Macaca fascicularis: one gene and its partners. The protein of the gene in region 3 purifies or fractionates together with the protein of the main gene of each other region. This does not show direct contact. Links are inferred from orthologs where the notes say so. Each region holds a gene or a part of one and is shown on either strand. Other genes may lie near its edges.

Evidence for each region.
Region 1: the proteins of TICAM1 (region 3) and TLR4 purify together in Homo sapiens (affinity purification with western blotting; 3 studies listed by BioGRID). This does not show direct contact. The link is inferred for Macaca fascicularis from reciprocal best matches to the Homo sapiens genes TICAM1 and TLR4.
Region 2: the proteins of TICAM1 (region 3) and RIPK1 purify together in Homo sapiens (affinity purification with western blotting; 4 studies listed by BioGRID). This does not show direct contact. The link is inferred for Macaca fascicularis from reciprocal best matches to the Homo sapiens genes TICAM1 and RIPK1.

The regions. Positions count from the first base shown.
Region 1 is NC_088389.1:40,361,641-40,365,821, forward strand, and holds the start of TLR4 (toll-like receptor 4), read right to left. Parts: upstream 2,892-4,181; 5' UTR 2,761-2,891; coding exon 2,668-2,760; intron 1-2,667.
Region 2 is NC_088378.1:169,982,170-169,985,817, reverse strand, and holds part of RIPK1 (receptor-interacting serine/threonine-protein kinase 1), read left to right. Parts: intron 1-879; coding exon 880-1,017; intron 1,018-2,435; exon of another isoform or gene 2,436-2,549; intron 2,550-2,972; coding exon 2,973-3,201; intron 3,202-3,648. UniProt on the Homo sapiens protein: Serine-threonine kinase which is a key regulator of TNF-mediated apoptosis, necroptosis and inflammatory pathways.
Region 3 is NC_088393.1:5,599,807-5,604,014, forward strand, and holds the start of TICAM1 (TIR domain-containing adapter molecule 1), read right to left. Parts: upstream 2,846-4,208; 5' UTR 2,731-2,845; intron 1-2,730.

The DNA of each region.
Region 1 (4,181 bases), on a different chromosome or scaffold from region 3:
TATGTCTGCTTAAATGTTACAAGCCATGGAGCCTCAAAGACAGTACTGCCTAATAGAAACAGAGCCAGGCACTCTTTCTTTGCCCTCTTTTATTCCCTTTCACAGGATGCACCACCATCTAACATTATGTTGTCTATGTGATTGTTGCCATCGGATTGTTCATCTCCTGTACTCCATTGCAAGTTTCAGTGGGTTTGCCCACTGCTTTGTCTCCGGCACTCAGAATGGTGTCTGGCAAATGGTTGATGCTCAATAAATATTTGCTGAATCAATAACTGATTGAATAACTGATTAAATGAAGGTTTACTTAAGTCCACATTGTAGACATTTTCTGCCAAGCGCTGTGGGCATTACAAAGAAAAATACGATGTGGCTCCAGACTTCAATGGACTCACAGTCTAGAGTAAGAGTTTAGATGGGAGCAAAGCTAATACTGTCTCAAGGGGCCGTAAAATAGGCTTAGAAAATTTGTCCTGTGGTTCAGAGAAAGCAGAGATCGAGTCCGTATTCAGGAAAGGCTTCCCAGAAAAGGAAGATTTTAAAGTGGGTCTCGGAAGATGAGTAAGGTTTAGATATGTGGAAAGGGGAAGAAAAAACATGTCGTAAGGAGAGGACAACATGAGCATGGAAAGAGTGGAAAACAAACTTAGATTAGCTGGTGAGTGGTAGGAGTGGTGAAACCTAAGTAAGAGGGCAAACCAGATCAGGAGGGCCTCAGACTTTGTCCTGCAGCAATTATTTCAATCATTTATCACATATAAATTTAGTGGCTACTGTGTGCTGACCACTGGAAATATAGTGGTCCTTGCCAATTCCGTTACAAAGGAAGAGAGAGAAAATAAACAAACAAAAATATAAAATGTTGTGCTCCAGAAAAAAAAAAATAAAGCAATAAAAGGGAATTTGAGGCAAATAAGTGAGGCTGGAGAGCTCTACATGGGGCAATCAAGGAAGACTGCCCTGAGGAGGGGACATGTAAGCAGAAATCTGAATGGAGTGATTAAACCATGAAAATGACCAGGGCTGCACTGACCAATACGGTAGTCACTTGCCATACACAGTTATTAAACACAAGAAACGTGAATAGTCTAAATTGAGATGCATGGTAAATGTAAAATATATACTAAATTCCAGATTTAGTACCAAACAAGCAATGTAAAATATCAGTAATAGGTAAATATATATTAAAATTTTAAACATTATTTTAAATATGTTAAGTTAAATAAAAATATTAAATTCACTTGTTTCTTTTTTTAATGAGGCTACTAAAAACTTTAAAAGTACATATGTGGTTCACATAATATTGCCATTGGATAGCACTGATCTAGCATTCTAGGTAGAAGAAATAGCCAGTGCAAAGGCCTTGTGGTAGAAACCTGTCCTAATGGCAATGGAGAGTTATCAAAAGTTTTTAAGGAGATAATTTGTTAGATCAAAGCTTAAGGAAAAATAATAACAACAAATGCAAATACATAACAAACAAGAACGTGCAGAATGAATTAAAGGAAGAAGACTGGAATCAGGAAAGCAGTCACTGTGTAAGAGTCAACGCCAGGGGAAATGAGGGCCTGCCGTACAGTGGCAAGAAGGGGATGGGCAGGTATGGACAGGCTTCAGGGACTTACAGGAAATCGTACATGGGGAAAAGAAGAAGTCAAGGTTGGCTGTGGTTTTATCTCGCAGTGAGCCTAATTAGAAAATCTATCTCCACTAACCTAACAGCAGAGGGATACAGAGAAGAAGACAAGGAGGAGGACTATGGGCGGGGAATTGAGGGAAGGGATGGCTTTGAGATAATGAATTAGTCTTTGCTAAATATTACTTGATTTTCTCCCATATCCTCAACTTCAGGACTGCAGCTGGCTTTGCCTCTCTTGAGTTTCTGACCCTGCCTCACTGTAAATCATTTTCTTAGCTGTTCGGCTCTACTATGGGTTTCTAAAGCAACTGTGAAGTCTGTGCAGGGGAAAAACAAAAAAGATCCATCATGAATAAGATTATCAACCAGCTGATTGGTATTTCACCAAGAAACAAACTGTTGCAATAGCTGATATTATACATATTTCCCTCTTGCTTTTTTCTTCTCTCTCTCTCCTTTCCTTTTTCATTCTCTTATTTTTTTCATCCTCTGGACTAAACTATATGACTGCATACAGAAATCTGACACCCACTTAGAAAGTTCTTTCTGTAGAGACACACACACAAAAGCCATCTTCTTCCTGAGATTGACAGGAGCAGGGGGACTGCCTGAAGCTGAGTGTAAAGACCACCGGTGGGAAGAAATGACACTGAAGCAGTCTGTTTATTCTCTGGTGAAGAAGGTATTATAATTCTCTTATAGATGCGAAAGCTAGTCTCAGACAGGTTTGATAATTTTTTCACGCAGCCACAAGGTAGCAGAGCAGGGACCTTACGCAGATCTACGTAACCTAATGCACTCAAAATCTCCAAATGGAACAAACCTGTTAGCACTCAAAATCTCCAAATGGAACAAACCCCCATTGGCTGCCTTTAGTGCCCTTTAACAATGAATTACTTGATCTCTGTGGCTTCTTGAGTCTTTAAGGTAATTTAACTCTTTTTTTGCAAAAATAAACCAGGGCACACAGTGAGAAGCTCTGGGCAGAAGTGAGGGAGAGTTCAGAGGCGCTGACTCCAGCCACATACCTCCACGCAGGGCTCCCAGCTTTCTGGTCTCACGCAGGAGAGGAAGGCCATGGCTGGGATCAGAGTCCCAGCCAGGCGCAAGGCAGACGTCATCCTGGCATCATCCTCACTGCTTCTGTGAGCGACAGTGGCCCTGTGAACGCGTGGCTCGCTCACCGTTTCACCGTTTCACCGGGCAGTTTCTGAGGCACTGGTGTCTTCTCTTCCTCAAGCCGGTGCCCCACAGCAATTGGTACATTCAAAGCAGTTCTGGGCTACAGGGTGAGAGGAAGTGAAAGTTGCAACCTTAGCATTCTGGACTTTTGTTTGTCTAATAGTTATCTCTTTTGTCACAGGAGAGGAAGTTAGAAGGAGAAGAAGAAAACGCCTGCAGACCAGTGGCTAAAGAAACAGCAAGAGGAAGCTAGTTGGCTTTTATCCCAGGAAGTCATCTGACCTCTGTCTGGGCTTGGCGAATTTAGGAAAACCATCAGATACTGTTAAAATAGCCCTTGCAACTCTCTAGGATGATGGTGATTTTCCAGTTTTGTTTCAGCTGTGGAAACACTATTTGTATTAGTTTGCTGGGGCTGCCATAATGAATTACTACAGACTGGGTGGCTTAAACCACAGAGATTTATTTTCTCACAATTCTAGAGGCTTCCAGTCTGAACTCAAGATGTCAGCAACTGTGTCTAAATTCTAATCTCCCCTTCTTATAAGGACACCAGTTATGTTGGATGAGGGCCCACCATAATGACCTCATTCTACCTTACATACCTCTTTCAAGGCTTTCTCTCCATATATGGTCATAATCTGAGGCAGGGGGTTTAGGACCTCAATATATAAGTTTTTGCAAGGATGCAATTTGGTCCACCTCTTCTTGTGAAGAAACTCACATATAAAACTGAAAATAAAGCTCCAGTGAAACACTGAAAAGTACAAGAAGATTGGGAAAAGTCTGGGACTTCAGAATTGAATATACTGAAGTTCAGATCTCAGCTGGGTGACTCATGGCCTCGAGGCATTGGTCAAGTCACGTAAACTACTAAGTTTTACTTTCTTTCTTTTTTTCCCCCCATTTTCCTTGTTATGGTAAAATCACATAACATAACATGACATGACATAACATAACATAAAATGTATTACCTTGACCATTTGTATGCGTACAATTCTGTGGCATTAATTACGTTCATATTTTTGTACAATCACCACTATTCATTAAGCAATAACTCCCCATTTCTCCTTTCCCTAGCCCCTGGAAACTACGCACTGCTTTTTGTCTCTATAATTTTGACTACCCTAGGTATCTCTTAGAAGTGGAATCATACAGTATGTGTTTTTTTTGTAACTGGTTTATTTCACTTTGCATAATGTCTTCAAGGTTCATTTCTGTGTAGTATAGATCAAAGCATCCTTCCTTTTTAAAGCTGAGCAATATTCCATTATATGTACATACTACATTTTGCTTATCCATTTGTCTGTTCATGGACACTTGCATTGTTGCCACACATTAGCTATTGTGAATAATGCTG
Region 2 (3,648 bases), on a different chromosome or scaffold from region 3:
TGGTGAGCAAGCTATTAACAGTGTCGCTCAGCTGCGCTATGTCATAAATATGGTTTGAGGGATAGACTTGGAATCTCACTTTTGTCATTAAAATTTTTTTCCTGTTAACCAACAACCAAAATACATATAAATTTTTAGGAAACATCTTGTTTGTATACTGATTTTTTGTTGTGAAGCAAAACTATTTTAACCACTATAATAGAAACTGGAATTGTTTGTTAATATTGATGTTCATATAATAAGAATACAATTATAGGAACCAGTGACCTGAGACTCTACAAAAGCCTGAAGTATCTGCTACCAGGTCATCAAATAGATATTAATTCACTGAAGCGTTGTCGTTTTAACATCATGTTTATCTCAGATTTTTCTATGATTGTAATCAGTGTGAACATGTTCCCTTGTATTCTTTTTTCTCTTAATGTTATTTTACATGTGACATTTCCATGGCATTGTTCATGTCCTTAATGTAAACTTAGTATGACATCGTATGAGTATCCCATAGAAAATGCTTGCTTATATATTTATTCATCCATTCATTCAGCAAGCATTCCAGGTATAATCCTAGGTTCTAAAGATACAGTCCTAAATAATATATATTTTTGTTCTCAAGGAGCTTAATTTTATAGTATTTTATACATTACCAAATTATTGTGGGATTTTTGTTTTTACACTAACAAAATACAACATGAATACCTTTTGCCCTCCAAGAATGAAATCTTTCTTGTTTTCCAGTGACAGCAGTGCTGTGGTGCGTCTGCTGGAAGGAAACCTGTAACCCTCTCCTCAGGCTCAGATCCCACCACCCTTTCATGAAACAGTTGCTTTGGCCTATTTGATTACCTTTCCATTTCATAGACTTAATGTCACTTGTTTTAGATGAGTACCCCGCTTTCTGTAAAAGGAAGGATAATTGTGGAAATCATTGAAGGGATGTGCTACTTACATGGAAAAGGCGTGATACACAAGGACCTGAAGCCTGAAAATATCCTTGTTGATGATGACTTCCACATTAAGGTAAACCATCATCTGTAGGCTTCCAGAAAGTTGGGTGATTTTAGTTTTAATTCTCCAATGTAAACCCATTCTTGTAAACTGGAGAAGCTAAAGGAAGACCTAGCTCAGCTTATAACTGGTGATGATGGTGCTGAAGGGCTCTACCAGCGATTGAAAGGAAAGACGCAGGCTTGATGGGATCAGGAGATAACTGTCAGGATAACTCATATCTTTTGGGGAGGAGTGGAATTGAGTGGGGGAGATGAGAAGTCCTCTTTCCTAGATTGTGTTTTTCTCCTCTGTTAGAAACATTCAAAAGTTGCCCTTTACATCCTGGAATGGGCCATTGGTGCCATAATGTGTCACCAAGACTCCCCTCCTCTGGAAATGCAGGGGAATGAGGGTGCGTGCAGAAAATCTTTAGAGTTCAGATATGGCCTAAGAGTGAGATCAGCGGCCGGGTGCGGTGGCTCATGCCTGTAATCCCAGCACTTTGGGAGGCTGAGGTGAGCAGATCACCTGAGGTTGGGAGTTCAAGACCAGCCTGACCAATATGGAGAAACCCCATCTCTACTAAAAATACAAAATCAGCCAGGCGTGGTAGCGCATGCCTGTAATTCCAGCTGCTTGGGAGGCTGAGGCAGGAGAATCACCTGAAGCCGGGAGGCGGAGGTTGTGGTGAGCCGAGATTGTGCCATTGCACTCTAGCCTGGGCCACAAGAGCAAAACTCTGCCTCTAAGAAAAAAAAAAAGAGATCAGCAGTGCATCAAAAACTTCTACTTTGAAATTTTGTTTTATATTTTTATTTGATTATTTGCTTCTGTGTTTTAAAAAATCAGTTTCCTTTGAACACGTTCTTTCCATTGTCATAAAGGGAACAAGGGAAAGGGGTTTTTCTTTTGTTCATTCAAGGGCAGGATTTAGCTAGCGGGGAGTGTCATATCTAATTGGCTTTCGCAGCAGGAATCCAAGCACAAGCATCCAAAAGGGGAAGCAGCCCTGGGGGAGGCAGCCCTGGGGGAGGCAGCCCTGGGGGAGGCAGCCCTGGGGGAGGCACTCAGGAGCTGCTGACACAGGGGCCTCTCTCCACCAGCAGGTTCTACGTCTAGTGCTTTGTCCTAGTCTTGGACAGGCCTTTAAAAAAAGGCCTGGGAATAAAAATTCCTCCTTCATAACCTATCTTCAAATTCGTGACTTCCCTCTTATGTCGTGGGTTAGAATCTGTGGATTTTAGGTAATCATGTGCCACAGTTCATCCCCACATGCTCGCTTGGATTCCTGCAGGCAGAAGTGGAACTGGCACCTGTGTTCTCTTCTTCACTGCACTGCTCTGTCATTTTGCCCTGCCAACTCTGTTCTTGTTCTGCGTCTGACCTTGGTATTTTTCTCTCTGCTTTTTGTCTGTTTTTCTCCTCCTTCCCACCCCTTCTTCTCTTAGGTTCAGGCTACAGCTCAAAACAAGCAACACTGCAGTCCTTATCCTCAGCGTGTCTTTGGGATCCTTGGACACTCGCATCCATGGGCCTCTGGACGCCATTTGGGGAAATAGAAGGTGTAGTACTTAGCCACTGTCTGCTACATAAATGTGCAGAGAAGAAAATAACCATTTTCCCCCAAGCCCCAGAAATAGTTGAAAAACATATGCAGAGTCAATGGGGAATTAGAACAAATATATTTGGTTGTTACTATTCTTGTCAGAAACCTCTTCTGCTTTTCCCCTCCCCCTTATTGCATAAGGAATGCGATACCAGAATTTCATGTAACGTTTCCTGCGGGGAGATTTTACAAATGGCTGAGGAGACACACAGTTTCTATGAGTCTGTTGAGAAGTCGCCATTTTGAACCTGCCCAGTGAAACCGTTTCAGGAAAATTTACCATACCTTATGTATACTGGACAAGCCCTAGATTTAAAGTCAGATCTGATTTGCTTATGGCCTTCACCAAATAATCCCCGTGGCTCGATGTCTTTCGCAGATCGCAGACCTCGGCCTTGCTTCCTTTAAGATGTGGAGCAAACTGAGTAAAGAAGAGCACAATGAGCTGAAGGAAGTGGACGGCACCTCTAAGAAGAACGGCGGCACCCTCTACTACATGGCGCCCGAGCACCTGAACGACGTCAACGCAAAGCCCACGGAGAAGTCAGATGTGTACAGCTTTGCCGTCGTACTTTGGGCGATATTTGCAAATAAGGAGCCATATGAAAGTAAGGCATTAGAGGAGTGGGGTTTGATATGAACCAACACTGCCATATGAAGTAATGGGCTTCAGTGAAATCAGTTAAGGTTTATAATTGTTTATTCTTTTAATGTCAGTCTTGCTTGCTAAACTGTGAGTTCCGTGAGGGCAAGGACCATATCTGATTTATCCTCTGCTGTCTCCTCAGCATCTACACTCACTGTGCCTGGAACTAATAGGTGCCCAGTAAATTTTTGTTGAATGAATGAGTAATCCCATTTAGGAATCAGTGATCATAGGATGAATAGGACTCTTGATAACGTGTCATTAGCTTGAGAGATGCTGTAAAATTCCAGGGTTCTTCCTAGACAGGAAAGTTGATTGTTTCTGCTTGTGAGGACTTAGTCTTTCACACTACAAGGCATACACTTCATACTTTCACTCATTCACTTACTCCTTCATTCAAGAATTCTTT
Region 3 (4,208 bases):
GACAATCTGCTCACCTCAGCCTTCCAAAGTGCTGGGATTACAGGCGTAAGCCACGGCACCCAGCTAATTTTTGTAATTTTAGTAGAGACAGGGTTTCAGGCCATCGACCAGGCTGGTCTCGAACTCCTGACCCCAATTGATCTGCCCGCCTTGGCCTCCCAGAGTGTTCAGATTACAGGCATGAGCCACTGCGCCCAGCCCGTATAGGACTCTTAAAGCAGTGCCTGGCACATGTGTGCTCCATGAACATTAGCATGCAAGACTGAAACCTCCTGGCAAGGACTCAGGGGAGTTTTGCAGAAAACACAACAAAGCCAGTCAGACTTAGAATCATCAAGGCAGGACCACCCCCACCTGTATGCCTGGCAAATCTCTAAAATCACGTGGTCTTTCTTCTCCTTCTCTCTGCCCATGGGCCTGAACTCAACCCTATTTCATTGACTGCCCCAGCTTCCCCTGCCCGCCTCCCCTGCCCGCTGCCACCTCCACCTTCTGGAGACCTGGAGAGTTTCATTTCTCACTGTCCATGGCTGGGACAAAGTCCACTCCTCACTCTGAAGAGCAGGCGCCTGGCGGGACAAAAACACCCACAGGGTAGGGGCGTTCTGGCTCTGCCACCTGCCGGCTTGTGCAGTCTGTTTCTCAGCCTCCGTTTCCTCATTTATAACACCCACATGAACTGGTACTTAGGATGAATGGGAGTCTGTTTTGAAACTTCAATGCAAAAATATGGTTAAAAAGTTTACATCAGTGCCCAGGAAGAAGCAAGAGCTTGATATAATAATGTTAGTGTGACAATAAATGTTGACAGACTTTTTCTCTTCCTCTTCCTTTTTTAAAAAAATTTTGATTTTTAATTTCATTTCTTTCTTTCTTTCTTTCTTTTTTTTTTTTTTGAGACAGAGTCTCGCTGTGTCACCCAGGCTGGAGTGCAGTGGCACGGTCTCGGCTCACGGCAACCTCCGCCTCTTGGGTTCAAGCAGTTCTCCTGCCTCATCCTCCTGAGTGGCTGGGATTACGGCACGCGCCACCACGCCCGGCTAATTTTTGTATTTTTAGTAGAGACGGGGTTTCACCATGTTGGCCAGGCTGGTCTCAAACTCCTGACCTCAGGTGATCTGCCTGGGATTACAGGTATGAGCCACTGTGCCCAGCCCCCATTTCATTTTTTTTTTTTTAGAGACAGGGTCTCACTCTGTCACCCAGGCTGGAGTGCAGTGGTGGGGTCACGGCTCACTGCAGCCTTGAACTCCTGGGCTCAAGCAATCCTCCGACCTCAGCCTCCTGAGTAGCTGGGACTACAGGTGTGTGGCACAACACCTGGCTAATTTTTGTCTTTTTGGTAGAGACAGGGTCTCACCTATGTTACCCAGGCTCCAGGGCTCAAGCAATCCTCCTGCCTCAGCCTCCCAAAGTGTTGGGATTATAGGCATAAACACTGCACCTGGCTAACTTTCTTTTTGAATTTTTTTGTAGAAATGGAGTCTTGCTATGTTGCCCAGGCTTGTCTTGAACCCCTGGGCTCAAGCGATCCTCCCACCTCGTCCTTTTTAAATGTTTTAACTGCATCTGAAACGTGCTCTTCTCTCCCACTCTTCCTCCCACACTGTCATACAGTCTTTCATGCGTTGCGTATGCATTTATTGAGCATCTACTAGGTCCAGGAACTGTTCAAAGTGCCACTGCATATCAAGGCAAGCACATCCGCTCTCACAGAGCTCCTAGTCTGGTTCAGGGAGACCAACAGTAAGTGGGAAAATAACCCAAGATCATTTCAGAGAATGAAAAGTACTGTGAAAGCCATGAGCTGGGGGCTGTGTGGCTCTGAGAGACTGGCTGGGAAGGGGCTACAGGGGACCATGGTGGTCAAGGGAGGCCTTTGGGGACAGGAGGTGACATTGAGCTGAGACCTGAACGAGCTGAGGGAGGAGGCTGGGTGGAGATCAGGGAGGAAAGCTCTCGGAAGGTGAAGCCACCTGCCCAAAGGCCCTGGGGCAGGATTGCGCCTGGCTAGCTGGAGGAACAGTGAGGAAACCCATGTGACTGGATAACCGTTAGGAGGGGGAGAAAGGAAGAAGGTGTGGGGTGGTATAGGGTGTGAGGTTGGGATCCTGGGTCTCAGGGAAGAATTCGGGGTGTCAGGAAGGAATTTGGGATGTTGGGGAGGGATCCTGGGTGTCAGGGAGGAATCTGGGGTATTGGGGAGGGATCCTGGGTATTGGGGAAGAATCCAGGGTGTCAGAGAGGGATCCTTGGTGTCACAGAGGAATTTGGGGTGTCTGGGAGGAATCTGGGGTATTGGGGAAGGATCCTGCACGTCAGGGAGGAATTTTGGGTGTCAGGGAGAAATTCAGGGTGTTGAAATATCGGGTGTCAGGTAGGAAGCTTGGGGCTCAGGAATTTGGGGTGAGGAGGAATATGGGGTTTCAGGTAGGCATCCTGGGTGTTGGGGAGGAATCTGGGGTTTGGGGGAGGGGTCAGGCTGTAGGGGAGGAAACCCGGGTGCTGGGGAGGATCCCGACAGTGGGGGAGGATCTGGGCCACCAGCGAGGAGAGCTGGAGGTTGAGGGGAACGTCAACCTCCCAACGCGCGGCGCCAGGCCTCCCCGGGGCCCTAAGAGGGAGGCCAGGTGGCCTGGAGTCCTGGCGAGCGGCGCGGGCGCAGGGCCACCCTCCACACCCCCGACACTTTCTCCACCTCTGGCCAGTCCTCGCCGCTTCCCCACCTACCAGGGATCCGGGGCTGCCGGCTGCGCCACTGGGTCCTAGGGTCCTGGGGTCCTGGGGTCCTGGGGGCCGGGACTTCTGCGGAGGTTCCCGCAGACCTCAGCGCGCTGAGGGCGCTGGCTCCACCCCGCGGCTCCCGCCCTTGGAAGGAAACGCACCGCCCCTTCCGCGTCCTGGGTGGGTGTGGGACGTGAGGTCACGGTTTCGGAGTCCTGCCCCGCAGCACCGGGAAAGTCCCCGGGGCGCCCCGCACCTGTGCCCTCTCTTCCCAGCCCTTGCGGTCACGTTCAGCAAGTGTGAGCACCTACTGTGTGCAGGGGGCCAGAAGAACTCGCATCTGCCCTGGGGAGCCCACAGTCATCTGGGCTGGGGGCCCAGATGAGAAAGTAATCACAATTGGAAAGTAGGATCATCTCCGTTAGCGATAGGTGCTTTCCAGGAAATAAATGCAGCAGCTGTTTTTTTTTTATTTATTTTATTTTATTTTATTTTTATTTTATTTTATTTTACTTTACTTTATTTTACATTTTATTTTATTTTACATTTTATTTTATTTTATTTTATTTTATTTTATTTTATTTTATTTTATTTTTCCCCGAGACGGAGTTTCGCTTTTGTTGCCCAGACTGGAGTGCAGTGGTGCGATCTCAGCTCACTGCAACCTCCGCCTTCCCGGGTTCAGGCGATTCTCCTGCCTCAGCTTCCCGAGTAGCTGGGACTACAGGTGACATGTGCCACCACGCCTGGCTAATTTTGTATTTTTAGTAGAGACGGGGTTTCTCCATGTTGGTCAGGGTGGTCTCGAACTCCTGACCTCAAGTGACCCACTCACCTCGGTCTCCCAAAATGCTGGGATTACAGGTGTGAGCTTCCATGCCCGGGTCCCCCCAACTTTTTTTTTTTTGAGATGGAGTCTTACTCTGTGGCTCAGGCTGGAGTGCAGTGGTGCGACCTCGGCTCACTGCAATTTTCTTGCCTAAGCCTCCTGAGTAGCTGGGATTACAGGCACGTGCTGCCACATCCGGCTCATTTTTGTATTTTTAGTTGAGACGGGGTTTTACCATGTTGGCCAGGCTGGTCTCGAACTCTTGACCTCAGATGATGGGTCCACATCAGCCTCCCAAAGTGCTGGGATTACAGGCGTGAGCCACCACGCCCGGCCTAATTTTATTATAATAATTATTCTTATTATTATAGGGGTCTCCCTATCTTGCCCAGGCTGCTCTTAAACTTCCAGGCTCAAGCAATCCTCCCATCTCAGCCTCTCAAAGTGCTGGGATTACAGGTGTGAGCCACCGCACCCGGCCTATAACATTATTTTTATCACCACGATAAATAAGATCTAATAATCACAGTGATTTTGCAGTGGTGACAAGTGTCAGTTGTGTTTCTGGTTGCAATGCAATCTGAAAGTATCTGTGGCTTTTATTAGGGACAAAGGGACAAAGTCCCAGGTCCTGCGGCTGTCTTCATTAATAATT